Stegostoma tigrinum: one gene and its partners. The protein of the gene in region 1 interacts with the protein of each later gene in a biochemical or structural test. Links are inferred from orthologs where the notes say so. Each region holds a gene or a part of one and is shown on either strand. Other genes may lie near its edges. The genes, in order: prkcba, rasgrp3 and rack1.

Region 1 (10,282 bases):
CATATCATTCACCCTTCTGTATCCTACTTCTTTATTTTACATTCCGTACTGTGAATTGTGTATGGGTAATATACTGGCTGCATTATTTTAATGGTATAACTATTATAAGAATATAACTAATAACTATTAATTTGTACATTTACAACAATTACATCCCATTAGTCCTTGTTATTATAGACCTCTGCAGACTATACTGCTTTAAAGCACTAGCTGGTTAAAACTAACTTCATGAACAAATTGGAAGAATTACAGTATTTGGTTATAAAAGTTATCTGGTCATTATTGCCTCCCTGTGAATCATAAATGAAGCATAAATAGTTTCAGGAACAAAAGTAAAATTGTTTATATCGGACAATCTAAGATGCTTTTCGTCCTCTCTCAGTGGCCTTTAAAATAAGTAAGTCCTGCTACATACTGTACAAGGCCTTGGTGAGACTGTACGAAGAGTACAATGCCTAGTTTTGGTCACCTTATCTAAGGAGGAATATATTTGATGGAGGAAGTTCAGAGAAGCTTCACAATCCTTACTTCTGGAAAGAAGAACTTGTTCTATGAAGGAAGGCTGAGCAGGTTGGAGCTATACTCATTGGAGTTGAGAAGGCTACAAGGTGATCTTATTGAAATATATAAGAAATACCTTAGCTGGAACACTGTCGCCTATCCAAAAATGCAGAAAATTGCCCAAGTATGTCATCAACAGTACCATCAGACAACATTTGCTCACCAACAATCTGGTAATGTGCCATTTTGAGTCCATTTGGGCTACTTGTCTTTATTACAGCATTGATAGGAACACAGAAGAAAGATCAAAGCTCAAAAGGGAAGGTGCAATGACTGCACTTGACATCAGGGCAGCATATGACTGAGTATGGCATTAAGGAGCCCTTACAAATTTGAAGCCAATTAATATCAGAGCAGACTTTTCAATGTTCAAAATCATACCTAGCAGGAAGATGGTTATGATTGTGAGGGGCTAATTGTCTAAGTCCCAAGACATTGCTGCAAGGATTAGTCAGGGTATTGTCTGAGGTGCAACCATCTTCAATTGCTTCATCATTTACTCTGCTTCCATCATAATCAGAAATGGGGGTATTCATTAATGATCGCACAATGTTAAATGTCAGTTGAACACCTCAAATATTGAAGCAGTCCTTGCTAACATGCAGCAATGCCAGTAAGACATTTGGCCTCGAGTGGGTAAGAGGCATGTAACACATACGCCATACGAGTGTGAGGCAATGACTGTCTCGAGAGAATCTAACCATCTCCCCTTGTCATTCATAGAACATAGAACAGTACAGCACAGAACAGGCCCTTCAGCCCACAATGTTGTGCCGACCACTGATCCTCATGTATGCACCCTCAAGTTTCTGTGACCATATACATGTCCAGCAGTCTCTTAAATGACCCCAATGACCTTGCTTCCACAACTGCTGCTGGCAACGCATTCCATGCTCTCACAACTCTCTGCGTAAAGAACCTGCCTCTGACATCCCCTCTATACTTTCCACCAACCAGCTTAAAACTATGACCCCTCGTGCTAGCCATTTCTGCCCTGGAAAATAGTCTCTGGCTATCAACTCTATCTATGCCTCTCATTATCTTGTATACCTCAATTAGGTCCCCTCTCCTCCTCCTTTTCTCCAATGAAAAGAGACCGAGCTCAGTCAACCTCTCTTCATAAGATAAGCCCTCCAGTCCAGGCAGCATCCTGGTAAACCTCCTCTGAACCCTCTCCAAAGCATCCACATCTTTCCTATAATACGGCGCCCAGAACTGGACGCAGTATTCCAAGTGCGGTCTAACCAAAGTTTTATAGAGCTGCAACAAGATCTCACGACTCTTAAACTCAATCCCCCTGTTAATGAAAGCCAAAACACCATATGCTTTCTTAACAACCCTGTCCACTTGGGTGGCCATTTTATGGGATCTATGTATCTGCACACCAAGATCCCTCTGTTCCTCCACGCTGCCAAGAATCCTATCCTTAATCCTGTACTCAGCTTTCAAATTCGACCTTCCAAAATGCATCACCTCGCATTTATCCAGGTTGAACTCCATCTGCCACCTCTCAGCCCATCTCTGCATCCTGTCAATGTCCCGCTGCAGCCTACAACAGCCCTCTACACTGTCAACGACACCTCCGACCTTTGTGTCGTCTGCAAACTTGCTGATCCATCCTTCAATTCCCTCGTCCAAGTCATTAATAAAATTCAATTGCATTGTCACTGATGAACCCTCACATTCAGAAACCTGAAGGTTATGATGGACCAGAAACATAACAGGATCAGTGCTATAAATAATGTGACTACAAAGGCAAGTTAGAGGCTGAGAATTCTGTGGTCAGTAACTCACCTCCTGAGTGCTAAAGCATTCCCACCATCCAAAAGGTCAAGTCAGAAATATGTTAGAATACTCACCGCTTGTCTGAATGAGTACAGAATATTCAAGAAGTTCAATACTATTGAAGAAGCCACCAATTGATCATCTGTCTACCAACTTCAACAATCATGTCCTCCCACCACTGATACACAGTGTCAGTAATGGGTGTTGCAGTAATTCCTAAAGACTTTTATTTAGCAGCATCTTGTAAACCCATGAGCCGTACCACCTTGAAGGGCAAGGGCAGCAGACACGTGGGAACACCAACATCCCCAAGCTCCCCATTGACTCACACATCAACCTGACTCAGGACTATATTCTCATTCCTTCACAGTTATTGAGTCAAAATCCGCAAACACTCTTCCCAGCAGCAGTGTGGGTGCACCTGCACAAAAGGAAACGCATTCCTTCAGGAGAGGGGCTCACCACCAACCACTAAATAGCAATGAGGGCTGTGTAACAATTGCTACCCTTCCAGCAGAATCCACTTCCTATGAAAGAATTTAAAAATGATTCTGGTGGAGCTTCACAGGGTAGATGCTGATAGGATGCTTCCCCTCACAGCAGAATCAAAATCTAGGGTTTACTGTTTAAAAACAAGCAACCTCCCTTTCAAGTTGGAGTGAAAAGTTATTTCTGTCAGAGGATCGTTAATCTTAGAATGATTTTTCTCAGAGAGATCAGTAGAAGCTGTGTAATTGAATATATTTAAGGGTAAGCTAGGTAGATTCTCGATTGAGAAGAAAGTCATAGGTTGTGGAGGCAGGCAGCAAAACGGAGTTAGACCACATTCAGATCAGAAAGTATCTTACTGAATTATGTAGTAGGCTCAATGAACTGAGTAACCTACAGTGCTCCAATCTCTTATGATTACCATTTTCATTTTTTTTAACTCACAATACTAAATGCCCCGGAATCTCTGGATAGACACAGAATTCCAAAGGCAATCATGACAAGAAAGTCAGATCTGATTACTTTGCATGTTAAAAATGCTGTCCAAAGTCCTTTTTAATTTTTAAACTGTCTATTTGTGCCTTCTAATATTTTTACTCTTAACCATACCACCCAATTTCTTCAAATCAGGTTTCAAGTCTTTGTTTAACACTTGCTATTTTCTACACAAGCTGAAGTCTGATGAGAGAAGTTTGATCTGTAACATTAACTCAGATTCTCTGTCCTCAGATGGTGTCTGATCTGTTGGATTGCATGAGTATTGCTGAAAAGCATCTATATAACACAATGTCCAAACAAGTCTCTTTTCTCAAAACCATCCACTCTCTAATATTTCAAACATGATTATCCTTCAGGGCAATTTGCAAAAAAAGAAACACTAAAGTAAAAAGAAAAGAACATTTCTACTCTGTGAGAGTAGAGTTCTGACCTATCAATCAGTGTTTATCTTTGGTACTTCTGTGAACTCTTTTCATGAATTCAAAATAAAAAGCTCCAACAAAATATGTCTTTTTGTTCAGCAATACTATCCTTCAGTTGTGCTTTTTGGGGAAATCTCCAAAGAAAATACCCAAATTTGCAAATTAGAGGCATTTGTGTTTGCTACAAATATAGGTCAGCTGACTAGGTATGAATTGAAAATCCCATTATTTCTAACCTGAGCAGAATGAAATTTTACATCCAATTATTTTTTTAAGAGGTCAAGAATGTGCACATTTTTATCATGGCGTTTAGTGTTGAAAAAGAAAGGAAAACTCAGGCACAGAAGGCTTAAAAATTATGTGCAACAGAAAGTGACTTCATCCTGTTTCTATGTGACTTGTCTTGAGAATATATGGACTTTTGAATAATCTGATTGTATAAATGTGTGAAGCCAGCACTGGCTTACAGTGCAACATGCTCCAAAATGACCTGAAGGCTCACGCTACAAATTGCAGCATACCTATGGTGAACATGAATGTCAATACAATCTCAACTTTCAGGTCTGTGGATTGTTCCAAGTTGTCACAGGAGACCTGCGTCCAGCCAGTGTCCGACAACATTCTGCAGGTTACTACTGTACGGCTGGACAGTGCATCAAATTTGCACTCAGAGCTGAAACAGACCGAGTTTCTAGAGAATTGTTGGTTTTGCCAGTGATTGGACTGAATGCCAGGTTACACTTGGCAATGAAAGCTTCCACTGAAGTTATTTACTTAGTTATTTGAAGAGAAAGGCATTTAGGTTCCTTGGTGTGTAGGTGTCAGCAACACCCAGCAGCCTATCCTGCATGGAAATAGGAAGCATCCTGATGCCTGCCGCAACTCTCTGACTAGAAGATAAAAGACAAAATGACTGACAGGAAAGCCATCCTTGTTACGGGTGGCCTGAAGGTGAGGCTGCACTCCTAGAAAGCAGCAAAGTGAAGACCTTTGACTTTGCCTCTCTTCCAGATTGCGCAGAAAAATAATTTGGGGGCTTCACCTCACATTTCTCCCTCACTTCACACTCACATTCCTCCCTAACTCTACACTCCCACTGTTCCCTCACCTCACACTCCTCCCTCACCCTACACTCCCACTGTTCCCTCCCCTCACACTCCTCCCTCACCTCACACTCCTCCCTCACCCTACACTCCCACTGTTCCCTCACCTCACACTCCTCCCTCACCTCACACTCCTCCCTCTTCCTCCCTCACCTCACTCCTCCCTCACCCTACACTCCCACTGTTCCCTCACCTCACACTCACATTCCTCCCTCACCTCACTCCTCCCTCACCCTACACTCCCACTGTTCCCTCACCTCACTCACCCTTCACTGACGTTCCTCCCTGCCCCTACACTCTCACCCTTCCTGCGCTCTGGAAGACATTCTGCCGCTCTCCTTACTTGGATTGAGGATAGTAGTTTGCCGGGGTTTGTTGAGAGCCTGTCTCTGGGTAATGGAGAAGCCTCTGAGCACTCCAACCATCTCTGGCAGGAAGGCCGGGGCAGTTACATGTGGTCCCCTTCACTTTATTCGGCGGGTCACCCTGGTTTTCCAAACAAATCTGTTCTGACAGTCAGTGACTTGTAAAGAATCGCGGAAAAGATTCAGACAATGTAGATTCTCAGCAGAACTTGCGAAATGAATTTCCCAAACCTGCAGGAGAGCTGTGAGCCTGCAATTCCCCTGGCTGTGCTCTCAGACACCTCCCTGAAACCCCTCCTCTATCGTCCAGCTCCAGTCTCCCTTTAGCTCTGCGCGGATATTGCGCTGATTTTGCGCTCTAACTTCATAATAATTCGTTTGGGGGATTTTTTTAGCACACTTTCCGAATGCGCCCACGGAGGAAACCCCCGGGCCTTATGTTACTTAGATAAAGGGAATGAATAAATACACACATGATTCAAGGAATGAGCTAGAAAAGCGACTAAAGGAAGCAGTTCCAGTGTGAAGGGAACAGGACATAGTTAAGTTGGGGGGGGGGGGGGATCTGATACTTCCACAACGGGGGTCATAAACCTTGCTACTAGGAGCTCTCACAATGAATCTCCCCAGCTCTATATCGATGTTGGAAATAAGAAATGGCAAGGTGGTTCCTAGCCTTGAGTCACACGCCAAATTTGGCGGGTGGTCACTACACATGAAATGTCTCCCTGACGGGGTTTACGGTGCCCTCAGCCTCGCCGCTGGTTTCACTAAAGCAATTCCATGGTTTTATCTACTCTCCTTGGGCCCTTTTGACAGTCAGCCAACCACCAGAAAACCAGAGTCTGTGCCCGAACTGTCACTTCTTCACAGATCGGAAAATGGAAGGGCGCCGCAAGCAGATGACTTGGCGCTCAACCTCACCGCCTGCTGCCACCAATAAGATCCTAAAGATGTACCATTTCCTTCGGGGCTGTGACTGGGAGATGAGAAACTGCCTGCAGGAGCCACTTGTTGAGCGCTTGGCAGTGTTTGGGGAGGTGGGGTGGGTGTTGTTCAACTCCTACCAGGTTGCTGCTTTCAGTGTTTATATAATAGATCTGAGACGGACAGAAGAGACTATAGCTGTGTGTGTGTGTGCGCGCCTTTGGGAGAGCGCCTCGCTAGCACTGCTTATGTAAATAGACAGCGAGAGGCTTGAATTTGGAAGAGGCGGGGCATCCTGACGTGTGCTGGTGTGAAGCAGACGTAGCCTGGGCTCCTCACTGTGCTGTTAGCTCTCTGCCCGTTTGGCTCACACCAACAACAACACAGGTAAGAGCAGCGCCGAGTCCCTGCTTTTTTTTTGTTTTGCGGGCTACTGTTTGCTGGTGCAGCCTTGGAGCGGGGACTGAAGGATGTCTGACAATGTGTATGCGATGGAGGGCGAGGAGAACACCATTCGCTTCGCCCGCAAAGGTGCCCTAAGGCAGAAAAACGTGCACGAAGTCAAGGACCATAAATTCATCGCTCGCTTCTTCAAGCAACCCACGTTCTGCAGCCACTGCACTGACTTTATCTGGTGAGAGACATTAGCCTCGTCCATAAGCAAACTAGAGCACTGCTTGCAATGCCCATCTTCACATGTCATTAATGGTGATTGTTTGTCTTTGTTTTAACAGGGGATTCGGAAAGCAGGGATTCCAGTGTCAAGGTGGGTGTCCTTCCGGGTACAGTAGCAACAGTGTCTTTAACTGTCAGCCTGGAGTCTTACAGAGTCATGAGCTCAGGACAGTATCTGCAGCACAGTGTCAATAATAGTTTACTTGTGGCGCTCCTGTAATGCTCTATGTGAAGATTAAGCGGGGTGCAGTCAGAATCATCTCCGTTAAATATGAATAATTTACTAACTTGTTATACTGAGCTGCTAGTGCCCACTTAATCTAACAGGTTTTTGCTGCGATGGTAATTGGAAAGTGGACAGAGGCGCAACGCCGCTTAGTTGTTTAATATCAAGTGCACAGCCGTTTCTACAAATCAGTGATTAGACGAACTGGAGTTGTGCTCTGTTGTATTTTTTAATTGCATTTTCGTTAACACAGCCGGATGCAGGTGCCATCCTTCAATGCAATTTTCTGAACCTACCAGATTGAGCCTCGTGTAAGTCAGAAGGCGACCAGTTTATCAATGACTTTTAACAATATCATTTGAACGTTATCCTCCTAGTTTCACTTCTAATAAGACAGCGTTACAAAATATCCATATGTTTGACGTTCTCTCTTTCTGTGATGCTCCCTTTTTAAATTTGTCCTGAACTTGCTTCGTATCAGCGCGCCTCAATTAAAATTGTATCCCCTTTTTTCCTGTTTCTTCGGATTTTAATTTTATTTATCGTCTTTTCACTTTTTTTTCAAAAGACAGCTGCTGAATCAGATGGTTTTTCCTTTTTGGAACAATGTGCAACTTTTCTTTTGCGAGGTTAGCGTCTTAAAGCCTAACCTAACCCCACCCTTTCCTGCCTTTAAGCGGAAGCACTGAATCTCTCTCTCTTTCTCTGTGTGTGTGTGTGTGTGTGTGTGTATATAACAAAAATAGAAAAGTTGGTTTCGGCTTTAACATGTTGAAGAGCAGTGCTATCAGCAGATGGTGGTACTGCGAATGGCAGGCTGACAGGTTGTTTCACACATAACCATATAAGAAACAGCACCTAAGGAAACCGTACTGTTGTTCCCGCACATCCCACGTGTGGCTTGGGTTAGTTGGCAACTGTAACCCTTTCAATCTATTTCACACTATCTGTTTCCTAGTCCCGAGGAGAGGCATTCCAATCTGACTGAAGTGATGGTTGGTGAGTGTACAGATTACACCTGCTCCCTGCTGCTCTGTGACGACTTAGAGATGTTTTTTGACGACTAGATTCACTCTGTGCAGTGGGTTGCACAGATGCGGTCTGTACTGCATAGAAGGGAAGATTATTTGAGTAGTTTTGACTCTTCAGGATGAAGCTGAACCCCTACATCACAATCCCAGTGGTGTAATTCAGTAGAACATACCCAAGCGTTTCTAAATCAGCCCTCAAGCTTTCCGCAGATTTGGTATTTTCAGTTGAAATAGAAGGAAGAAGCGAGCCAGCTCCGTGCCCACCTTATTGACAGCACCTGTCATCAGTTGATATTTGCCAACTCGGAAATCTGACTTGACTTTTATCCGATTGCTATGCTGCTGTCCAAACTTTGAATTCTATGTTGCCTTGCATAATGTCAGGACATCGTATGTGTTGTACAGGTACTGTGGAGTTGTCCCAGCAAACTCCCCAAAAAACGTTATGATGGTGAGATAGTCTATTTCTGTGATGATTGGGGGATAAATATTGACCAGGACTCTGAGAACTCAGTCCCCTGCTCTTCGGAATAGTGCAAAAGGATCTGTATGTTCCCCTGTAAGGGCTAATGGGACATCAGTTTAAGATCTCTTAAACATGGCACACCTTCACAAGTGCTCTTGAGTGTCAGCCTTAATTTTTTTGTCCTCAGGTGTGGGGGGTGGAATTTAAGTTTAACTCCGAGGCAGGAGTTCTCCTCCCTGAGTCCTGGCTGACTGCATTAAAATTGAAGTATTCTACATTGTTGCTGGGTTGCTTTAGATTGGCATTAATGTTCAATAGCGTCTTCAAATGGGTGATGGTAGGGAGAATGGGAATTCCACTGTTTCTTTAGAAAGATAACACCAGCGTGTATTTTTTTTTGAAGTTCAAGCTTGTTTAAAGATTTGCAAGTGGAGATTTCTCCATCTGTTTCAGCAGATTCTGACTGTGAGTGAGTGATGTCATGGTGCTGTGCATTTGTATATGCTTCACAGACACAGTGTGAACAGACGCACAGTGGTTTTGTTTATAAAATATTGACATTTTAATCCCTTTAGAACTCTAAAATGGCATGGATCAAATAGTGATTCGTATTCTCCTCTGGCCACACAATCTTGGGAGTTTTATTTTCACTCACATTAGGTTGGTTGGAGTCAAGTGCTGCCATTTGAAGATTTCTATCATTGTGTGTGCTCAGGAATAATTCTTCAGAATGAGAATTCACATTGGGACAGGAATAGGCCGTTAGGCTCCTTGGGCTTGCTGGACTATTCAGTGCAATCGTAGTTGATCTGCTGCTTGAGCTCCACATATCTGCCCCGTTTTCACATCCTTTAGTTTCCAAAAAATTCTGTCCATAATATGCTTAATGACCGAGGGTCACAACTTTTTAGGGTAGAAAATTGCAAAGATTCTTAACCTTTTGGGTAAAGAAAACTCTCCCTCCTGTCATGATCCTACATGACCAATCCATTATTCTGAGTTTATGAACAGCAAACCTCCCCCTCCTTGTTCGGAATGATCCAGTTCAGGGAAGGATTCCTTCTGAATTTCCCTGAATCTCCTCCTCCCCAAAAATAATAAGTACAGCCTTTGAAGAGATGAACATTAGTATACTGTACTCCAGTTATGACGCAGCAAGACCATACATGTTTGCAGTAAGATTTTCTGACTGTCTTAGTCCTGTTTGCAATAAAGGTTATTATGATCAATGTACAATGATACACAGGTCCCACTGAGTACCAAACCTTTGCTGTCATTTTCATTTAAATAATTCAATTTCTTTCTTACATTTTTCCTTTCAAAGTGAATAATTTCACACTTCTCCACATTATGTTCCAACTGCCATGCTTTTACTCATTCACTTAGCCTGTCTATATTTCTTTGCAGGCTCTTTGCATCCTCCTCACAGCTTATTTTCCCACCTACCTTGTATCGTAACAAACTTGATGTATCACACTCATCCCCTTATCTGCGTCATTGATGTAGATAATATCCTGAGACCTAAGTACTGATCCAGCAGTGCTTAGCTAGTTATAACCTGCTGAGCTGCACAACACTTGTTTGTTCCTATCATTTTCTGTCTTTTAACCAATGTTGAATGTCACTAATATATAATGCTTGTCTGCAAGACCTAATTTTTTGCAATGACTTGCTGCATGGCACATTATCAAGTGCTTATTTGAAAATACAACACACTGCATTCACTGGTTCACC
Region 2 (10,392 bases), on another chromosome or scaffold:
TTTATCCTCACCTCCGGGCTGAATGGGAGATCCATTATTTTCAAACGATTGGAAATTAATAGTGTAAAATGTTGAGAGGATGAAGAGCTTCTTGTGTATGTTCAGGCAAATTATTGGGATCAGAAATGCACTGATCAGAAGAGGAAGGAGGCATTGTAGGAGGCATCGTTGGATCTGATTCTGGAGAATGAGGTAAAGTAGATCAGTATCAATAGGGGAACAGTTAGGAGACAGTGATCATAATGTAATCATGAGTGCATCAGCTATGAAAAACAGCAAGAAGCAATCTAGATTCAAAATTATTAATGGGGAGAGGATTAATTTCAGTTGGTGAGAATCAATTTAGCCCATGGAATCAAAAGTTAGGAAGCAAAACTGGAACAATGGACTGTCTTCAAAGAGGCCTTAGTTCATGTACAGATCGTGAACTTTTCCACAGAGAAATACAGCAGAAACAAAGCCAGAGCTCTCTGGATGACAAGCGATAGAGAGTAAAATGAAATAATTAAACATCATGTAAGACAGGTGTCAAGTTGATAATATAAGTGAGAAGCAGGAAACAGCTGGACAGTCAAACCCGGTGTAGCTCTTCCCCACCGCCCCTCCTCAGAAACAACAAAGCATCACAGTAAAGATAGAACCGAACAGATTGATCACCACAGCTGAAGACCACTGGTTTGGATAGCATCACATTGGTTTAAATAAACAGTTCCGAGTACACATGTTTACTCTGAATGGACCTAACAGTACAATGCAATGCAAACAAATTATACAATCTATGTTTGATTGTCAAGCTGTGCCCAGGGATGTCAAATGGCATATATTCAACATTGGAGTTTCAAAAATCTGTGCTTCTGACCTTCAGACAGATATTTCTTTAAAAGAAAAAACAAAAAGAGCTGAACATCTGAGCGGCTTTGTGGGTTTCCGACTGGGCTTTCTTACAAAAGGAAATTGGAACAGACAGGGATCGGGGGATATCAGAGATTCTAGTTAATACGGCATTTCAACAGTGGGTAATATGAAGTTACCATAAGTAGGAAGATTAGCAATGGGCTAAGTAGGGTACGCAAAGAAGATTTTACACAGGGTGGTAGCGGGCATAATTGAACTAGGAAGTGAGAACTTTGCATTTTTCTGTACCAAGGAAGATGTTTCCAAAGTCATTGTGAAGAACGGGAGATGGCTGAGGCACTGTTGGATATTAATCAATGAAACACCGAGGGGCTGGATTGTGTTTAAAGTTGATAAATCACCAGGATCGGACCAGCCGCATTCCAGAATACTGAGGAAAGCAAGGGTGGAAATTGCAGAAATACTTGGCTATAATTTTCCAATTCTCCTCAGACACAGGAGCATTACAAGAGGAATGGGGAATTAGAAATGCTAAACACTTCTTTCAAAATAAAGAGTTCAAAGGTATACCTGGCACGCCAGTCAGTTTAACCTTGGTAGTGGTGGAAGCTTTCAGAAATAATAGTCTGGGGCAGAATTAACAGTGGCTGAAACAAATGTGGATTAACTAAGGAAATTGGTATGGCTTTGTTAAAGATTTATTTAATTTGATTGAAGTTTTTCGCATGAGAAGGTAGATGAGTTACTGAGGTGATGGACTTTCAAAAGCATCTCAGAGTGAATTTTGGAGGCTATCGGCAAAGTAAAGCACATGGAACAAAAGGATTAGCAGTGGCCTGGAAATGAACATTGCAGAGTGGCAGCAAACAGAGTAACGGTCTTGATTTTCCAACCTGGAATGTACATAGTAAGGCTTCCCAGCAGTCAGTGTTAATACCACTGTTTCTTTTGATCTGCATTAATGACCTTGACGTGGGTATGCAGTTCATGATTCCAAAGCTTGCAGATGACACAAAACCTGCAAGTATCGTGAACACTGAGGAAGATACTGGAATATTATCAAGAGGATGTCAACAGTCAGTTCAATGGACAGATGCCTAGCAGCTGAAATTTAATTTGTGGAAATGCAAAGTGATGGATTTTGGTAAGAAGAGCAAGGATAGGCAACATAAAATATAGCATACACTTTTAAATGGGTGTACAAGCAAAAGCACCTGGAGTTATTGGTGAACAAATCAACTGAAGGTGACAGGGCAGATTGAGAAAGGCACAAGGGATGCTGAGTTTTATAATAACAGGAATGGAGCAGAGAAGGAAGGAGGTGAGAATCATAGAGCCACAAAGATGTACAGCACAGAAACAGACCCCTCGATCCACTTGTCCACCCCACCACATATCCTGAATTAATCTTGTCCCATTTGCCAGCAGTTGACACATATCCCTCTAAACTCTTCCCATTCATGTAATCATCCAAATGCCTTTTAAATGTTGTTATTGAACCAGCCTCCTCCACTTCCTCTGACAGCTTGATCCATGCACGCACAACCCTCTGCATGAAAAAGTTGCCCCTCAGGTTCCTTTTAAATCTTTCACTCCTCACTTTCAACCCATGCCTTCTAGTTTTGAACTCCCCTACTCACTATTCACCCTATCCATGCACCTCATGATTTTATAAACCTCTATAAACTTATAAACCCCCTCAGCCTCCGACACGCCAGAGAAAATAGCTCCAGCTAATTCAGCATCTCCCAATAGCTCAAACCCTCCAATTCTGGCAACATCTTTGTAAATCTTTTCTGAACCCTTTAACCTTTAACATCATCTTCCCAGTGAACCTGCATAAAATCACTGGTCGCATCTTAACTGGCAAAAGTCTTAATAGACAGGGACACCAATTTAAAGGTGAACAGTGAAAGAACTAAAGGTGGCAGGAGGAAATCTTTTGTTTCATAAAAACAGCTACCATAGTGGGAATTTCAGAGAGAACCGGATAATTATCTGCATGGAAAAGCATTGCAGGGCACTGGAAAATGGCAAGGGAGTGGAACTCGTTAAGTTGCTCTTGCATGTTGCTGGCATGGACAGGACAGGCTGAATGGCCTGTGCCATCACCACACCGAAATTCCACGTTAATGAACTGTTGTTAAAATTAGAAAGAAGGCGAAATACTACTCACCTGCTTGGTGTGGCGGAGTAAGGGATTGTAATGCTGGATCATCAGAATGAAAAGGTCATACCTTGTTGATTCTCTTTTTACAACGTTTGCTGGGGATATCAGCTGGAGAAAGGAGCTATGACAGTAGTGCACTTTACCTTATCCATTCTTCAATACCGACACTGGCCAGGGTCCAGGCTAACATTAGGAACTTTCCTGACCTTCCTGTCAGAAGAAGGTCTGATAAACAGAGCTGTCACTCAAAGCCTGTATGCAGGCCACCGATTTCTGCAGATACTAAGCACTTGTATGGGTTGGAAATTCAAAAGTAACTCCCTAGGCTTTGACTGGGTTGTCACATGAGCTACACAAATGGCAGGGCAAGTGGTCTCGAAGCTGATGACACAACTGGAAGCCAGCTCTTGTCCTCTTTAGCAGCATAGACACGATTAAGATAACAGCAACTGCAGTCCCATACTGGCAGGCCCACATGCACACAGTTTCAGTTCTAACTTGTGCTACACATCACGGGCAGGCTTTGAAAAAGAAGCTTGTTACTGTAAGACTGACCTGAGAATATTCGACAGCCTGGAACTCCTGGAGAGATTTGCCAATTTTGCTTCATCGCTCTTGCACATCCATGAGAAAGTCTGCCAGTTCAGATTGTAAATGCACTTACCAGATGTAAGAGGCTGTTTGATCCCCCACTCCACTGTCCGAAGCTGCAACATGTTTCCTAACTCCCTCAGTTTTACTGATGCATTGAAGCCCATAGACTTTAAACTCTTTCTGCTCGTTGCTAAGCTGCAGCATCATGTGATGTCACGATCTAGGCATGTCAATTATGTAAGCTAAAGTCAGTGTTAGAAGAGTCAATTTATGCTCGAAATAGTTTGACAAAGAGAGGCACAAACATGCTGACATCCCATGAGTGAAACAGATAAGGACAGCCACAGTATAGGGGGAGGTAAATGACGTTGTCTCCTACACACTGACAACTAACATTCTATATTCAGCAGTGCTGCACTTTCATTACCCAAAGCACAAAGAGCTTCTCAACAACTTGTAAATGATTAATCTCTCTCGCATTCGCAGTTACAGTCAGACACCAAAGTTATTTAGATACTCACACAGAAAAATATCAACTGTGCCTGGGGTCAGGACAACTGCTTTACTTCTCACACTAGTAAACATCCAGCTGGTGGATACCACAATTTCTTTACTTCTGAAGCTCTTGGAAAGTCTCTCATTAAGTATAAAAGACAACTGGTTCCTTTCGCAGGAGGTGTATTACTCAGAAGCCAATTAAAGAGCTTGTGTTGGAACAGGGGAACTTGAAATGCTAATTATATTCAGTCTAGCCCCACACTCTTAAAGCATGTGAAGCAATGTGCTACAAATAGTGAATCTGTTTTACAGAAATTCAAATCTTGTTTGTACAGGTCACAAAGCTAGATATCTGTTTTACACACACACACATCTGTCATAAACTGATGATTGAAATCATTGCTCAGTCATTCAAACACCTCTTATTCCTGCCACAGGCACGAAAATGAAGCCAACATTTTGCACTAGTCTGCTGTTATTTTCTTGTGAGATTTATTCGACAGTTTGCTGTCTGTATGGGGAGTTCTCATGCAAAAGGCAGTTTTATAAAAGTTTTCCCTCCACATAGCCAGCACCCAACTAACAAGACCCCTTTGATAGCTATTTCTACTGTGGTTCAGTGGTTAGCACTGCTGCTTCACTATCCCAGGGAACTAGGTTCAATCCCAGCCCTGGGTGATTGCTTATGTGTTCTCTCTGTACTTATGTGCGTTTATTCCCCAAACCAAAGATGTGCAGGTTAGGTGAATTGGCCATTGTAAGGTGCCCATGATCTGTGAGTTAGTCATGGGCTGGTGGGGTGGGGGCTGTTTGGTCTGGAGGGGATGTATCCTCTTTGGTGGAGTGGTATGGGCCAAATGGCTTGCTTTTGCTCTGCAGATCCTCTATAATTTAGGGCAACTCTCACATAAAAGAAAGAGGATCTACATGTTCAGGACCAGCCACTTAGAGAGATGGAGTCATTCCTGAAAAACATCTTTTCCAACTTCACAGAAATGTTGAACTCACAAGCACTTTTCAATCGCCAAGCTATCAAATATGTATTGGCTTTTCCTCAGTTTGCCTCAACCTTTTAAGGCAATCAGAGAAAGATTTTAACAGGATCCTGCAGGGCAAACGTTTCACACAGAGGGTGGTTCATATGTGGAATGAACTGCCTGAGGAAGTGGTAGGTAAAGTACAGTTACAATATTTAAAAGACATGTCCATGAACAGGAAAGATTTAGAGGGATATGGACCAATCTCAAGCAAATGGGATTAGTTTAGTTTGGGGAACCTGCTTGGCATGGACAACTGACCGAAGGGACTGTCTCTGTGCTGTGTGCCTCTATGTCTCCTCTCTTCCCCATCACAACATTATTTTTGCTCTTATGAGCCCTTGAAGTCATGAAGAATGTATGTACTATCATTCCTCAGAGTCATGATATTTTAGCATTACCTTTTCCTTCTTCCCAGATGGAATCGATTCTTTTCTGGGATGTTACTAGCATTGCAAAGGACAGTGTTTTCTGCCCATCCCCAAGTATCCATCAAAGGAATGGATTGATAGGTCACTGTTATGGACCTGGAGTCATACATAGGTCCGGTAAGGATGGCAGATTACTTTCCCTAAAGTGGCGCCATGAAACTATCTTTACATTGCAGATTTATCAATTGAATTGAATTTTTATTAGTTGTTATGCTGGGATTCGAACCTTCAGGGCATTAATATTACGACAACCAGAAAGTGTTGAAGAAGCAGATCTGGCAGCATCTATGGACAGAGAAACACAGTTAACATCTAAAGAAGAGAGTCAGACTGGACTCAAAATGTTGACTTTGTTTCTTGCCCTCTCCACACATTTTCTTTCTCCAGCATTTGTTTTAATTTTTTTTAATTTCAGAAGTCCAGCATCTGCTGTTTGTGCTTTTATTCCTCAGAGCGTAAGTCTAGATCACTAGACCAATGGAATTTCCACTACACCACTGCCTTCTCCAACATTGTTCATGTATGAGCCTACTCTAGTCAATAAGTGCTATCAGCAACTTGATCCATCCTTGTGCACTCAACTGTAAACCAGTCATCTCCTTGACTGTGTGCCTTGAGGACCTCCTGTACGCTCATATGAATTCGGGACATCTCGTTCCCCTTGCCACCTCTACCACCAAGTCATCCAATGCAGTGACAGAAAAGCTCTGAGCCGCAGATTGCAAAATTCCTCACTGTTTCCCAGCATTGCTCTCTTTCTGTGTGACAACTGACTCTTTCTCTAGTTACAAAGTATCTCTGATGGATTAGTTACAGGCTAACCTTAATTACTGCCAAGAAATTACCTTTTCAGGCACCCTGATCATACATGGTCATCCCTTCACCTACCAAACTCAAAGAACACCAGCCAAGTTCATGGAATTATTTTCACAATTTAACTGTATCAAACTTGATGCAATTCTGGCAAATTTACTCTTTCCAAGACCAATGATTTGTGATTCTTAAACTGAACATAATCTGCCTGATGGGATCTGATCATGATTCTTTAAAACTGAAGCAAATGCCTCCTCACTGCAATACTCCAGTTCACCTTACAGGTGAAGACAAAGATTTTTAGCCTTTGTGAAAGCAAATGCCTACATCTCCACAATCCTCACACTTTCTAGTCACTTGTCATGAAGGAAATATTCTATTTTTTGTCTTTCTTGGATCCAGGTAGGTGGCATCACACTTTCCCAAACTGAACTGTGTTTGCCATAATCTGTTCACTCCCATAAATTTGCCTTTGTCACTTCTTGAATGGATGTAGAAAATGCTTGTCACCGTCTACCAATGGCTAGGATCGTGCAGTGAAGTAATTCACCTCCTGACTCCCCAAAACCCACTCACCATCTACAAAGTGTAAGTTAGGAGTGTGATGGAATACTCTCCACTTGCTTAGAGGAGTGTAGCTCCATCAATACAGATGAAGTTCAACACCAAGCAGCCCCCTTGACTGCAACCCCATCCACCCACTTCAGCATTCACTCCCTCCAGTATCGATGTACAGTGGCAGCAGAGTGGACCATTTACAAGGTGCACTGCAGCAACAAGTCAATGCTCCTTCAAGAGCACCTTCCAAACACACATTACCCTCTAGAGGGTCAAAAGCAGCAAATAAACAGGGTAACCACCACATGCAGATTCCCCTTTGAGCCATACAGTATCCTGACTTGCTATCCCTTCACTGTCACTGGCTAAAAATCTTGAAAGGTCCTTCCTGGCCGCACTGTGGGTCTACCTCAATCAAACAGATTGCAACAGATGAGAAAGGCAGCTCATCACCAATGTCTCCAGAGCAATTAGGGATGGACAATAAATGTTGGCCCAGCCTGCCCATATCCCACAGAAGAATGGATGAAACAATTAGACTTCAGCTTCATTTCACTTTTGCCAAATACTAACAAACAATTGGATAGTGATCAGGAATCCCAGTAACTTCTGCCTCCTAGAATGGTAAGTGCTCTGATTGTCACACTAGCTGAGATGATTTACCTCAGTATAGGCGCAGGAATCCTGCCTCAAGCTTGAGGCATCTTTGTCTGATCTCAATTGTGTCAGCACATTAGCTGATTTAAGCTATGCAAGAGGCAGCTATGCTCAAACGTTCTAAGAACTACCTACAACTAAAAACAAAGTTGCTGGAAAAGCTCTGGAAGGGTCACCGGACCTGAAACGTTAACTCTGTTTTCTCCTCCACAGATGCTGCCAGACCTGCTGAGCTTTTCCAGCAACTTTGTTTTTGTTCCTGATTTACAGCATCTGCAGTTCTTTTGGTTTTTATTCTAATAGTTACCAAATAGCTGCCTTTACTTGGTAGAGATGTCTTTCACTTCCCTCCGGAAGTGCTGTCTTCTGTGAAGAAAAGCTGCATGCCTTATCTAAAACAATGCACAACTGTGTTTTTCAAAGCGCTTTCAGCATTTCATTTAATCTTACCTACACACGGCAGAAAATCTGTTGGATCCAGGTCCTTGCAACAACTTAATAAGAACTTAATAAGATTTGGTTGCATAAAAAGGCACGAAACCAACAAAAGCCACTGTGTGTAAATCACAAGCTTGTAGTCGTCCACAATCATGAGTGAACATATGATTTGACCAACAGTGAGTTTCCAACTGATGTTCAGTTCCTGACAGCCACAAGGGAGAAGCTACTTCTGAAATTTTATGCATGCGGCTCATACTAAGAAAATATTCTTCTGGCATGAGATTACATGAGTTCTTGAATAATAATGGAAAATATCATCAACTGGGTGAAATGTAGGTATTTATTCACTCTAAATTAAATGTATGGAGTGGACTACAAGAAATTGACCAGAGATAGCAAGAACAGCAGATGCTGGAGTCAGAGATAACACAGTGTGGAGCTGGAGGAACATGGCAGGTCGCGCACATCAGAGGAGCAACGATGTTGACGTTTTGGGTTGGGATCCTTCTTCAGGAATGGGGGAGGGTGAAGGGAGCTGGGAAATAAATCGAGAGGAGGGATGGGGCTGGGGAAGGTAGGTGGGATGGAGAGTGCAGGTAGGCAGTAGTGGGGATTGGTCAGTCAAGTAGGAGGAGTGGATAGGTGAGAGAGAAGATGGGCAGGTTGTGTCAGGTCAAGGAGGTGGGGATGAGAGGGAGGGTTGGACATGGGATGAGGCCAGGGGTGGGGAAATTTTAAAACTGGTGCGTTCCAAGTTTAAACCATTGGGCTGTAGGCTCCCGAGGCAGAATATGAGGCGCTGCTCCTCCTGTTTGCAGATGGTGTCATCGTGACACAGTAGGAGGCCCAGGATGGACATGTCACCCAGTGAGTGGGGCAGGGAGTTAAAATGGTTGGCGACCAGAAGGTGTTGTGGTTTGTCATGTACAGAGAGCAGAGATTGTACATTTGACATAATCCTGCAGATATTATGTCTTTCTTGAGGACAGAATTGAAGAAGGTGCGACATGAAGATAGGTTGAATGTCAAAGATCTGTTCTCCTTGGCAAGAAGGTGGCAAGGTCATATTTTTTCATTCACTCACAGGATGAGGGCATCGTTGGCTAAGCAGCATTTATCGCCCATCCCTCATTGCCCAGAGGGCAGCTAAGAGTCAACTACATTTCTGCTGGTCTGGATGTAGGCCAGACTAGGTCAGGATGGCAGTTTCCTTCCCTAATCGTGAACCAGTTTGGTTTTTCCGACAATGGATTCATGGTAATCACTAAGATTCTTAATTCCAGATTTTTAAAAATTGAGTTCAAGTTCCACCATCTGCAGTGGCAGGATTCAAACCTGGGTGCCCAGAACATTCCCTAGGTCTCTGGATTAACAGTCTACCAATAATACCTTTAGTCACCTATCCTCTATCCTCTGATAGAGCTTTTTGAAATCATGAGGGGTGCTGGATATGGGACATTAGGAGAAACTGTTACTACTCAAAAGAGGGATTACAGACTAGAGGTCAGAGATTTAAAGTGGTTTGCAAAAAAAAACGTGAGATGATGAAAATCTTTTTTAACAGAGTGAGTCGTTAGGGTGTGGCATGTGCCATTTGGAAGTGAAATGGAAGATAATTCAACTGATGTAGTCAAGAGGCTACTAGATGATTATTTGGAATGAAACAATCTGCAACTATGTTGAGAAATAAGCAGGAGGTTGACAGTAGGTATTGATGCTCACTTGAAGGGAGTGTGCAGATATACATGCCCTGTGGTCTCCATCTGTGCTGTAAACTTCTGTGACTTACGAATGACCACTCACACACCCCTAATGAGGATCAATGCTTGAAGGAATACTGGGGTCCGTATCTCTGACACTGTAACTCTAATTCCGCGCAGCGCGTGCCTTTTAAATGAAGTTGGATGGTGGGTGAGTGGGAGTTGCAAAATTAATCCCAAAGCTGAAAATCCTCAGGATGGCTGAATCCTCTAATGTGGCACGTACTCGTGCCTCAAATATTAATCTGATCCTTTCCAAGCAATGTATTAATTTAAATCAATCTGATATAAGCCGGGGAAGCTCTTAACAGTAAAGTGCTAGAATTTAAACTAGCCATTGCTGCATGATACTGACTTTGGTAGAGTTTAGGGCCCACTCGCTTATGGACCTGATTCTAGTGATCAGGGTAGAAACCAATATTTTGACGATGCCTTTCATGACTTAAGATTTCCCAAGGCATTTTGCAGCCAGTATTTTTGAGATGTCATCACTATAGTAGTGGCCAAAAGACAAACAGCGATATGATATTGATGGGATGATCTATATTTATCGTGAGATAAAAGTAACGGATGTTATA
Region 3 (10,542 bases), on another chromosome or scaffold:
TACTAGTCAAAAAAGCACCAAAAACTATTGGTAAATCATTAAAAACAACAATGCAAGAGAACTAAAGACACCTTTGGTATGAAATCAGTTTAAATCAACGCCAAGCCCAATGATCACAAAACAAAGAGAAAAACACTGAGTAGTGCATTCAATCTACCTGAAAAGGGAACAGGAATGAAAAAAACCAGTACTGAGTACTGATGCACTGAGCCACACATGAATCATGGTTACCCAGCATGACGTGAATGTTCTGCTAAGGAACCAATTATAAAATAAAACTACAGGTTGTGCCAAGAATCACAACATTGATAGAAATTAACAGACTAGCAGAAATTAATGGTGTGTCTGGTGAAAAGTAATGAAATTCCTGTTCGCTCAAGGCACAGAGACTGAGGAGGCACAAACAGCCCTGGTAATCTCTCCAACAAAAACAGTGAGCTTCAATAAATCAGAACATCTATTTTCAGCTCTTTGACAACCCAGCCTTAACACGAGTGCAGACCCAATCCATCAAAACAGAAAACAGAAGCAATTTCCAACAATGTTAACACCAGCATCTTTCCACCCCAACACTTATCTCGATTCATCACTCTTACCTTAACTAGTTTATCCCAGCCACAGGAGACTATGATGGGGTTGCTGCTATTTGGCGAGAAGCGAACACAAGATACCCACTCGCTGTGGCATTCATCCTGTAAGAGAGGGAAAGTTGAACAAAATTTCACATGGATTGTTAATGCTAGAAAAGATCTGTAATGTTCTTAATTGCCACCAACCCTGCAATTTCACAACTCAGTCCGTCAATTAAAGAAAGGACCTGAAGGCCACTTACCACTACTAAACCCCCACCTCCACATCTGCTCCGCCATTCAGTAAAAAGCTAACCTAAATCATAACTACATGTCCACTTTTCTGCCTGTTCTCCATAACTGATTTCAAGGTACAATAATCTGTAAGTTCATCATGAATATGAGAAAGTCACTACTCAGAGGATGCACAATTCCATTAATGAGCCAAGAAATTTGCTTTCATCTCAAACTTTAAGTCAGAAATATTCTCCCATTCTGCAACTGCCAATTTTTTCTAGGCTCCTCCACAAGGTAAAACAATTTCAATGTTACCTTCCAAGCCCCGAGGTACTTTTCAACAAGATTACTCATTCTTCTCAACTGAGGTCAAAGGCCTAACCTTTCCTCAAATCAACCGCTCATTCTGAACTGCCTCTAATGCAAGCATGTCCCGTTGTAATTAAAGCTCAAACTATAAATTGTACTCCAACACCCTGTGCAACTTCCCACAATTAGTTGCTGCTTCTACATTCTAACAGTTGAAATTCATACAAGTAGCTACGCAGATTTGTGTATCATATTCAATTTTCTGCTTTCCTATTCTTCCCGGCAAGTGGATAATCTTATTGTCTCCCACACTTATGCCAAAATATCAACCATTCATTCATACTAATTAAATGGCTTTGCAAACTGTATCCTCACAACCAGCTTCCTTACCTATAGAGTCAGCAAGTTTGGCTATAATAAACAAACACATCCTAGTGCCCAACCAGTAAAAGGGGCTGACCTTATCTCGCTTCTTAAAAGCAAAGTCTCATTCATATGATAAATTTCCAGACTGGTGGCCCTGCTATTTTTGCTGTTCAATTAAATATTAAGCAACTCAAGAAATACCAAACACTGTTGAACTCAATGTTCAGCCATTTATATTCACGCTCACATCTCCTTTCTATTATGTAGTAACCATACTCATGTTATTTCAAATGGTGTAACTAAGAAGTCTACAACTGAATTGAGCAAAGGATAAACACAGTTCATTCATTTATCACTGTAAATTAAGCATATAATTTAGAACTTAACTGTGTGCTATACTTGTCTAGCCATTGCATTTAAACTATCGATACGAACTTGCTACCATTTCAGAAAACCCTCCAGCCACATCTCGAACAAAATAATCACTACCAGTTCATGTGTTCAGTTTGGGTGGAAAGGTAAAACACAACATTCAGACCAGCTGCCAGGCAGTCAACTTCTTGAGAATTAACTTCTTTCTGTACGTAAGTAGGAATGCAATTAAATACATGGGAATTTCAAAGCAAAAGACGTACTGTAGATTCCTTAAGTTCACAATTATCATTTGAATAGAATTGACAATGAGATATTCAATGTTTCAGCTTCTGCTGCCTGAGAATTTTGCACATGAATGCCAAATACGTAATAACAAAGTGAGATATTTTTCCCCTACATAGTGTAATAGCCATGCTTGGAAAAGTAATTGTGTCTGAGTTACCTGGATGGTGTATTTGCAAACACCTAATGTGTTCCACAGTTTTACAGTTTTGTCACGGGAACCAGACACAATTTGGCGATTATCAGCTGAAAAGGCAACACTCAGTACGTCCTTGGTGTGACCTACAAATCGACGTGTAGTCGATCCCCTGGAAGAGGAATTGTATTAATCATCCCAACAAGTAGTGAAAGAAACGACTGCAAATAATCAAGCAAAAATGTCTATTAATTTCTTTGGAACAAGTACCATTAAAAACATTTAAAATGCACCCGCAACAAATTATTCCACTCTTATTAAAAATCTGATTGTAGGCAATAAATTATTTGCATTCTTACATTGTCAAATCCCAAAGTCGTAGAGTTCCATCCCAGGAACCAGAAAGGGCAAACTGACCATCAGAAGAAATGACTACATCACTAATAAAGTGAGAGTGGCCACTGAGGGAACGCTGTGGGACACCATAGCTGGTCTCATCCCTAGTTAGCTTCCACATGATAATTGTTTTATCTGTAAGCAGAAATAAGCTTTTAGAACACTGCATTTAGATTAAGGTCACAGTTTGCTATATGAAAAGTTACTTTCCAGTTAGGGTATGAACTGATGTAATACATTTAAGTTTTCTAAAAACCAAATAGCTCACTTTTGCTCAAAATTAGAAACAAAACTAGTAATATTCCTGCAAGATTCCTTGGGGCATTTTACTTTAAGTGTGATAAAGTAATGCAAGTTATTTTAGGTCTGGAAACGTGGCATTTCAGATTTCAATACTTTCAAAGATTAATTTGAAACATACTTTTCTTCTATAAATGTTATTTGCCCAAAGAATAGAATTGAAAAGAATACATTAACGGGGTGCTCTCTCCACACTCCACCAGTTTCTGTTTTAGACTTCCCACATCCACAGATGTTTTGCCTGTGCAATGTCCCTTTACATCAGAAATAAGACAACACTCAATTTGTTACTCATTCTGCAAGCATTGGCATATTTGTAAGTATAAATTAATGCACCGGCAGTAAACCACTTTAACTCGTTAAAGCCCACAGGTCGGTAATTAACCTCAAGTTATTGAACTCTTAAAAAAGTGATATCCCCTGGCTATCAAAAATCTTGAAAGGCGGAGCAGACTCGAAGGCCCGGACGGCCTACTCCTCTTCCTAGTTCGTATGTTCCGTGTTCTAACGTTTCAGTTTTAGCCTCCTGATGGACACACAACGTGGTTCTGCAGCATTCGAGCTTGTGTGTCAGCAGCAGTGACTCGTTGCAATCGACTGAGAGCCGGGCCTAATAAGCAACGGAGGGCCGTAAAACTATCTACGTGTAAACCGTGAAGAAGTCCGGCTACAGACAACTCGAAAAGTTAACATAACGGGACTAAAAGAGAAACAGGCATTCATGATAAAACATACGGCCGAGAAACGGCTGCTCGGTCCGCCTTTGGCGGCGGATAGAGCCCGCACCCCGGTCCTCTTCCCTCCCCCTCCACGAAGAGTACCTCGGGACGCGGACAGAATCATGTCAGGAAACTGCGGGGTTGTGGCAATTTGTGTCACCCAGCCACTGTGGCCTTTTAGGGTGCCACGAAGGGTCATCTGCTCCGTCATTTTGAGTGGAGATGGGGCGTCCTATAGACGGATGAAAACGGATTGCAGCAGAGGACTCAGCCTCAGAACAACGCGCGTCCACCGGGCCGCAGAGAAAAAGGAAGCGCTCCGTAACAGGCCCGGACATGACGTCAATGGCGAGGAGAGGGCTGGGTGATTTTGATGGTGGCGCCGTCTCCTTGGTGACGTTTAACTTGATGTTGCCGGTTGGAGCTGCAAACTGTTTCGAAATAACAATTGTATACTTATAGCAAAATCAAGAACCTGATTGAAAGCAGCTAGCTGCCTCAGTCTGTTCTCAAATTATTCTGTCACACGGGAACTTACACCCGGAGGGAATGGATCCAACGATTCCAGTTACCCTTTCGACTGCTGGAAGTGTCAAAAGGCACTGACCAGCCAGCAGCAATCACTTGGAACTGTTGACCAAACAAGCAGTTGGCTGGGGACTGGAGCATTAAAAGATAATTTTGATAGCCACAAAATAGCAGAATCTAGCTGAATAGAAATTGCACATGGTAATTATTGACATATGAAGAAAGACTGAATCAACTTGGTTCGTACTCACTGGAATTTAGACGAATGACGGGGATCTCCTGGAAACATATAAAATTCCGTGGGAAGAATGTTCCTGATGTAGAGGAAGTCCAGAACTAAGGGTCACAATCTAAGAATAAGTAGTAGGCCATTCAGGACTGAGATGAGGAGGAATTTCTTCACTCAGAGAGTAGTGAATTTGTGGAATTCTCTACCTCAGAGAGTTGTGGGGCCACTTCATCAGATATATTCAAGTTGGAGCTGGACGTGGCCCTTATAACTTAAAGGGATCAATGGGTGTGGAGAGAAAGTGGAAACGGGATAATGAAATTGCATGATCAGCCATGATCATTTTGAATGGTGGTACAGGCTTGAAGGGCTGAATGACCTACTCCTGCACCTATTTTCTATGTTTCAATGTAATGTTTCATTTTGGTTGTACACTTGGCGATGTTCCTTGATAGTATGAAGCACCATAAATGCAAATGTAATTTTCTCCCTCCTGAAAAAAAGACAGGCTTGGAGACTGTGACTAACTCAAACACATTAAATGAAAAGCAGCAACGATCACATCAATTTTGTGCTGTGTACCACCTGAACTTTTTCACTCAATGCTAAGCAACCACTATTGATTATGTATGTCTGAAAAGGGTGCCATATCACGAGTGGATAGCTGCATTCAAAGCTAGTCTACACCACTTAAAGGGGAATATTTTGGCAATTATGTTAGTATGTTTACAGATGACACCAAAATGGGTGGTGTAGTGGACAGTGAAGAAGGTTATCTCAAAGGACAAGAAGGCCTTGATCACATGGGCCAAGAAATGGCTGATGAGGTTTAATTTGGATATGTTTTAGGTTTTGCATCTTGCTAAGGCAAACCAGGCCAAGACTTCTACAGCTGATGGCCGAACAGTGGTGAGTGCGCCGAACAAAGAGAACTAAGGGTGCAGGCGCATCCTTTTGGAAGTGGAGTCACAGGTAGACAGGATGGTGAAGAAGGTATTTGGCAAGCTTGCCTCCATTGGTCAATGCATCGAGTATAGAAGTTGGGACATCATATTGCATATAAAGTCATATAAAGTGAGGCTACTTTTAGAATACTGTGTTCAGTTGTGGCCTCCCTCCTGTAGGAAAGATATTAAACTTGAAAAGAGATAGTAGGAATTGCTGATGCTGGAGTCTGAGATGACAAGGTGTAGAGCTGGATGAACACAGCAGGCCAGACAGCATCAGAGGAGCAGGAAAGCTGACGTTTTGGGTCAGGAACCTTCTTCAGGAATGGGGGAGGGGAAGGGGGCTCTGAAAAAAATAGAGGGGGATGCGATGATAGAAGTTTGACAGAGGAGCAGATAGGTAGAGAGAAGACGGACAGGTCAAGGAGATGGGGATTAGGCCAGTAAAGGTGGGTGTAGGTGGGGATTTGGGATGGGGGTTGGTCAGTGAGGAGGGAGGGACGAGTACGTGGGAGGGAAGATGGACAGGTTAAGATGGTGGGGTGAGGCTATAGGTGCAATGTCCCCTCCACAGTGGTCAAGAACGCCCTTGACCACATCTCTCACGTTTCCCGCACCTCAGCCCTCACACCCCTTCCCCGCAATAACAACAAAGACAGAAATCTCCTTGTCCCCACATATCACCCCATCAACCTCTGGATTCAACACTTCATTCTCTACCACTTCCGCCACCTGCAATCTGACCCCACTACCAAGGACATATTTCCCTCCTCACCCTTATCTGCCTTCCAGAGGAACCGCTGTCTCCACGACTCCCTCATCCCCTCCACACTCCCCACTCACCCCAACACCCCTGGCACTTTTCCCTGCAACCGCAGGAAGTGCTATATCTCCCCCCTCACCTCCATCCCAGGCCGCAAGAAAACCTTCCACATTAAACAGATGCTCACCTGTACATTCACTAATGTCGTATACTATATCCACTGTTCCCGATCTGGCCTCCTCCACATCGGGGAAACCAAGCGGAGGTTTGGAGACCGCTTTGTGGAGCACCTACACTCAGTTCATGATAAGCGACAACACCCCAGTCGTGAACCACTTCAACTCCCCGTCCCACTCCTTGGATGACATGTCCATCCTGGGTCTTCTCCAGTGCCACAACAATGCCACCCGAAGGCTGGAGGAACAGCACCTCATATTGTGCTTGGGAACCCTGCAGCCCAATGGCCTCAATGTGGACTTTACAAGCTTCAAAACTGCCCCGCCCCGACCTCATCCCAAGACTAGCCCATCTCATCCCCGCCTCCTTGACCTCTCCATCTTTTCTTCCACCTATCCACTCCTCTCATCTCACTGACCAACCCCCACCCCCACTTCCTACCTACTAGCCTCATCCCCGCCTCCTTGACCTGTCCATCTTCCCTATCACCCACCCCCACCGACTAACCCCCATCCCAACTCCCTACCTACACTCACCTTTACTGGCTTCATCCCTGCCTCCTTGACCTGTCTGTTTTCTCTCCACCTATCTGCTCCTCTATCCACCTTCTATCATTGCCTCCCCGTCTCTCTATTTATTTCAGAGCCCCCTTCCCCGAAGAAAGGTCCAGACCCGAAACATCAGCTTTCCCACTCCTCTGATGCTGCCTGGCCTACTGTGTTCATCCAGCTCTACACCTCGTTATCTTAAACTTGAAAAGTTTCAGAACAGATTTATGAGAATGTTGCCAAGATTGGAATGTTTGAGTTATAGAGTGAGGCTGGAGCATCAGAGGCAGGGGTGACCTTATTGAGGTTTATAAAATCATGAGGGGCACGGATGGGGTGAATAGCCAAGGTCTTTTTGCTAGGGTAGTAGAGTTCATAACTAGAGGGCATGGATTCAAGGTGAGGGGGGCAAGATTTAAAAGGGATCTGAGGTGCAATTTCTTTCGTGCAGAGGTTAGTGCACTTATGGAACAACCTGCCAGTGGAAGTGGTGGAGGCAGATACAATTACAACAGTTAAAATGAATCTGGATGGCTGCATGAAATGGAAGCATTTAGAGGGATATAGGCCAAATACCTATATAATGGGATCAAATCAGTTTAGAATATCTAGTGAGAGCAGAGAAGTTGGACTGAAGGGTCTGTTTCCGTCTGTTTAACTCTATGACACTAAGTGAATATAATAACTGAAGAATGGCGCAACATACAAGAAATGGGCCTCCAAGGTTTTAGCTGATGCTCTGGAGGCCTTAGTGAATGAGGTAAACAGTAAGAAACATGATCTGTACCTGGAGGAAACCAAGAAATCATCTGCCACAAAAGATTATGGAAGCAGGTAGCTATGGCAGTCAATGCCAGTAATTAAGACCTAAAAGACCAGGAGGTAGGGCCATAAAAAAGTCAATGATTTTGTATGAGTCGTAAGATCAGTGAGTGTATTTTCAAATGCCACATCATACCAACAGGGTAACATGCAAGCAAAATGCCCCTGAGCAACAGGGTATGATGTGGGGCATTCAGCTTGTGTCATTGGGAGGGCTGAATGTTGTCTCACTGACACTTGAACCATTTGATTCACCTCATTTCCAAGTTAAACTAATTTGGCAATGTGAGGGAATCAAGAAAGAATAATTAAGGAAAATGTCAGACCTGCAAAACACTTTGAAAAAGCCTGGCACTAGCATTGTGAGTCACAAATAGGTGAATTTCAAGAAGTCGAGGAGAAAGGTAAGTCCAAAACAGAATAAATATGTATACATATAAGTGCATGAAGCATAATAAATAAGGTTGGGAAGTTACAGGTGAAGATTGCAACGTAGAATTATGATGTGGCAGTGATAGAAACTTGGTGGAAGGAAGCGTGAGGCTCGGTGTTAATTATTCCTGAATATAAGTTGTTCAGGAGAGGTGGAAAATAGGTAAAGGAGGAGTAATAGTAGTATCAGTTAAGGAGGTATTTCAGTCCTCGAGAAGGAAGATGTCTCAGAGGATTCAAGGACGGGCTCAATTTGGCTAGAGTTACAGAATAAAAATAGTACAATAACATTGTGCAGTGTAGTCTGCAGACCACCAAAAGTGGAAAGGATGTTGAGGAACAAATCTACAGAAAGATGCCAACATTATAGAGGAACTTCAGTCACCCACATATAGGCTGAATACTGGTAGTGTAAGGCACAACAAGGGTCAAATGTTCCAAGATTGTGTTTGGGAAAGGTTCCTGCAGCAATATTTTACAGGCCAATAAGGAAGGGTACATGTTGGACCTGGTCCTTGGATATGTGGATCAAGTGTCAGTGAGACAACATTTAGGAGACAATGATCATTGTGTGATAGGGGTCAGGATGGTGTTGGAGAATGACTTGGAACAACCCAAAATAAGAAAAATCAATCAGTGGAATGCTGACTTTAATGCGACAAGAACACAACTGAGCAGAATTGATTGGAATAAGAGGTTAGTGTGTAAAAACAACAACTGAACAATTGGCTACCTTCAAAGAGCAGATGTTTCAGATACAGTTGAGTTACATTTCCTCTCACAGAAAATGTAGGGCTAACAAATCCAGGGTCCTCCGGCTGGCAAAGGAGGTAGGAATTAATGTGAGAATGAAAAAGTTTGCCAATAACAGGTATGAGGCAGAAAATACTATTGAGAACAAACAGGAACATAGAAGGTTCAGGTTGGAGGTGAATGAGCAAACAGGAGAAACAAAGGGGACCTATGAAAAAAGATCAGTAGCCTGTATGAAATCTCAACGTCTTTGATAGGCATATAAACAGTAAGAGAATGGTTAAAGAAGGAGTAGGACCGATCAGGGACCATAAAGTGGATTTACACATCAAGGTATAAGGCATGGTTGAGGTGTTAAACAAATATTTTACATCTGTGTTTACAAGAGGAGGATGATGCCCAGGATATGGTGACAAGAATGGCAAGTCTCTCAGAACAGTTTAAAATTTATAAAGTCCTGGATAGATTGTTGGCTCTTAAGTTGATAAAACACCAGGTTCAGATAAGATGCATCCAAACATTTTGAAGGCCATGAGAGTAGAAACTGAAGGAATACTGGCCATATTTTTTTCCCTGGAACATGCCAGAAGACTGAAGAATTGCAAATACAATGGCTTTGTCCAAGAGAGGTTGTAAGGACAATCCCAGCAATTACAGACCAGTTATTTTAACTTTGGTGGTGTGGAAACATTTGGAAACAATTATTCTGTACAGAATTAATAGTCATTTAGGAAAAGGTGGGTGGATTAGAAGAGTTAAAATGGATTACTAAACGTGAAATTTTGTCAAACTAAAATGTTGCAATTTTATTGAAGAGGTTAGACAGAATGTTAGTGAGGGTAATAGTGTTGATATATACGTTGTGTTCCAGAACATGTTTGATAATGTCACACAACAGGCCTGTGAGGAAAGTTATGGAATCATGATATAAAAAGGACAGTGGCAACATGGATACAAAATTGACGAGGAAACAGAGTAATAGTCAATGGATATATTTATGGCCTGGAGACAGGTTTGTCGTAGAGTTCCCCAGGGTTGGTTTGGGACCCTTACTTTTTCTGATATATATCAATAATCTTGATCTTGCTTTGCAGGGACATTTTCAAGTTTGCAGATGACACTAAATTGGAAGAATTGTAAACTGTGAGAGGATAATATAGAACTTCAAAAAGATGTCAACACAGTGGCTTAGTGGTTAGCACTGCTGCCTCACAGTGCCAGGGACCGGGTTTGATTCTAGCCTTGGGCAATTGTCTGTGTGGAGTTTACTCTGGCTGCTCTGGTTTCCTCACACAGTCCAAATATGTACAGATTAGATGGATTGGCCATGCAACGTTACCCGTAGTGCCCAGGGATGTGCAGCTAGGTGGATTAACCATGGGAAATACAGGGTTAAGGGATAGGGTGGAGGTGGGTCTGGGTGGAATGCTCTTTGGAGCATCGGTGTTGACTTAGGTAATCCTTGGTACCAATTACTAATTGCTGTTTAGCCTTTGCTAAATAATTATGATACTTTTTGTCTCATTATTTGAAAAAAAATCATTCTCAGCATTAGTAGCAGTCCTGTCAATACACTATATGAGAAAGTTAAATGCATTTGCAGCATGAATTTCTGGAATACAAAGTCAAGTAATGACCAAAAAAATCATTGTCG

Evidence for each region.
Region 2: of the proteins of prkcba (region 1) and rasgrp3, one has a biochemical effect on the other in vitro, tested with the Homo sapiens proteins (2 studies listed by BioGRID). The link is inferred for Stegostoma tigrinum from reciprocal best matches to the Homo sapiens genes PRKCB and RASGRP3.
Region 3: the proteins of prkcba (region 1) and rack1 form a complex in vitro, tested with the Homo sapiens proteins (2 studies listed by BioGRID). The link is inferred for Stegostoma tigrinum from reciprocal best matches to the Homo sapiens genes PRKCB and RACK1.

The regions. Positions count from the first base shown.
Region 1 is NC_081376.1:21,294,735-21,305,016, forward strand, and holds the start of prkcba (protein kinase C, beta a), read left to right. Parts: upstream 1-6,334; 5' UTR 6,335-6,620; coding exon 6,621-6,784; intron 6,785-6,884; coding exon 6,885-6,916; intron 6,917-10,282. UniProt on the Homo sapiens protein: Calcium-activated, phospholipid- and diacylglycerol (DAG)-dependent serine/threonine-protein kinase involved in various cellular processes such as regulation of the B-cell receptor (BCR) signalosome, oxidative stress-induced apoptosis, androgen receptor-dependent transcription regulation, insulin signaling and endothelial cells proliferation.
Region 2 is NC_081362.1:81,543,755-81,554,146, reverse strand, and holds the start of rasgrp3 (ras guanyl-releasing protein 3), read right to left. Parts: upstream 3,900-10,392; 5' UTR 3,690-3,899; intron 1-3,689. UniProt on the Homo sapiens protein: Guanine nucleotide exchange factor (GEF) for Ras and Rap1.
Region 3 is NC_081366.1:36,418,858-36,429,399, reverse strand, and holds the start of rack1 (small ribosomal subunit protein RACK1), read right to left. Parts: upstream 4,015-10,542; 5' UTR 3,901-4,014; coding exon 3,792-3,900; intron 2,806-3,791; coding exon 2,634-2,805; intron 2,447-2,633; coding exon 2,299-2,446; intron 693-2,298; coding exon 597-692; intron 1-596. UniProt on the Homo sapiens protein: Scaffolding protein involved in the recruitment, assembly and/or regulation of a variety of signaling molecules. Interacts with a wide variety of proteins and plays a role in many cellular processes.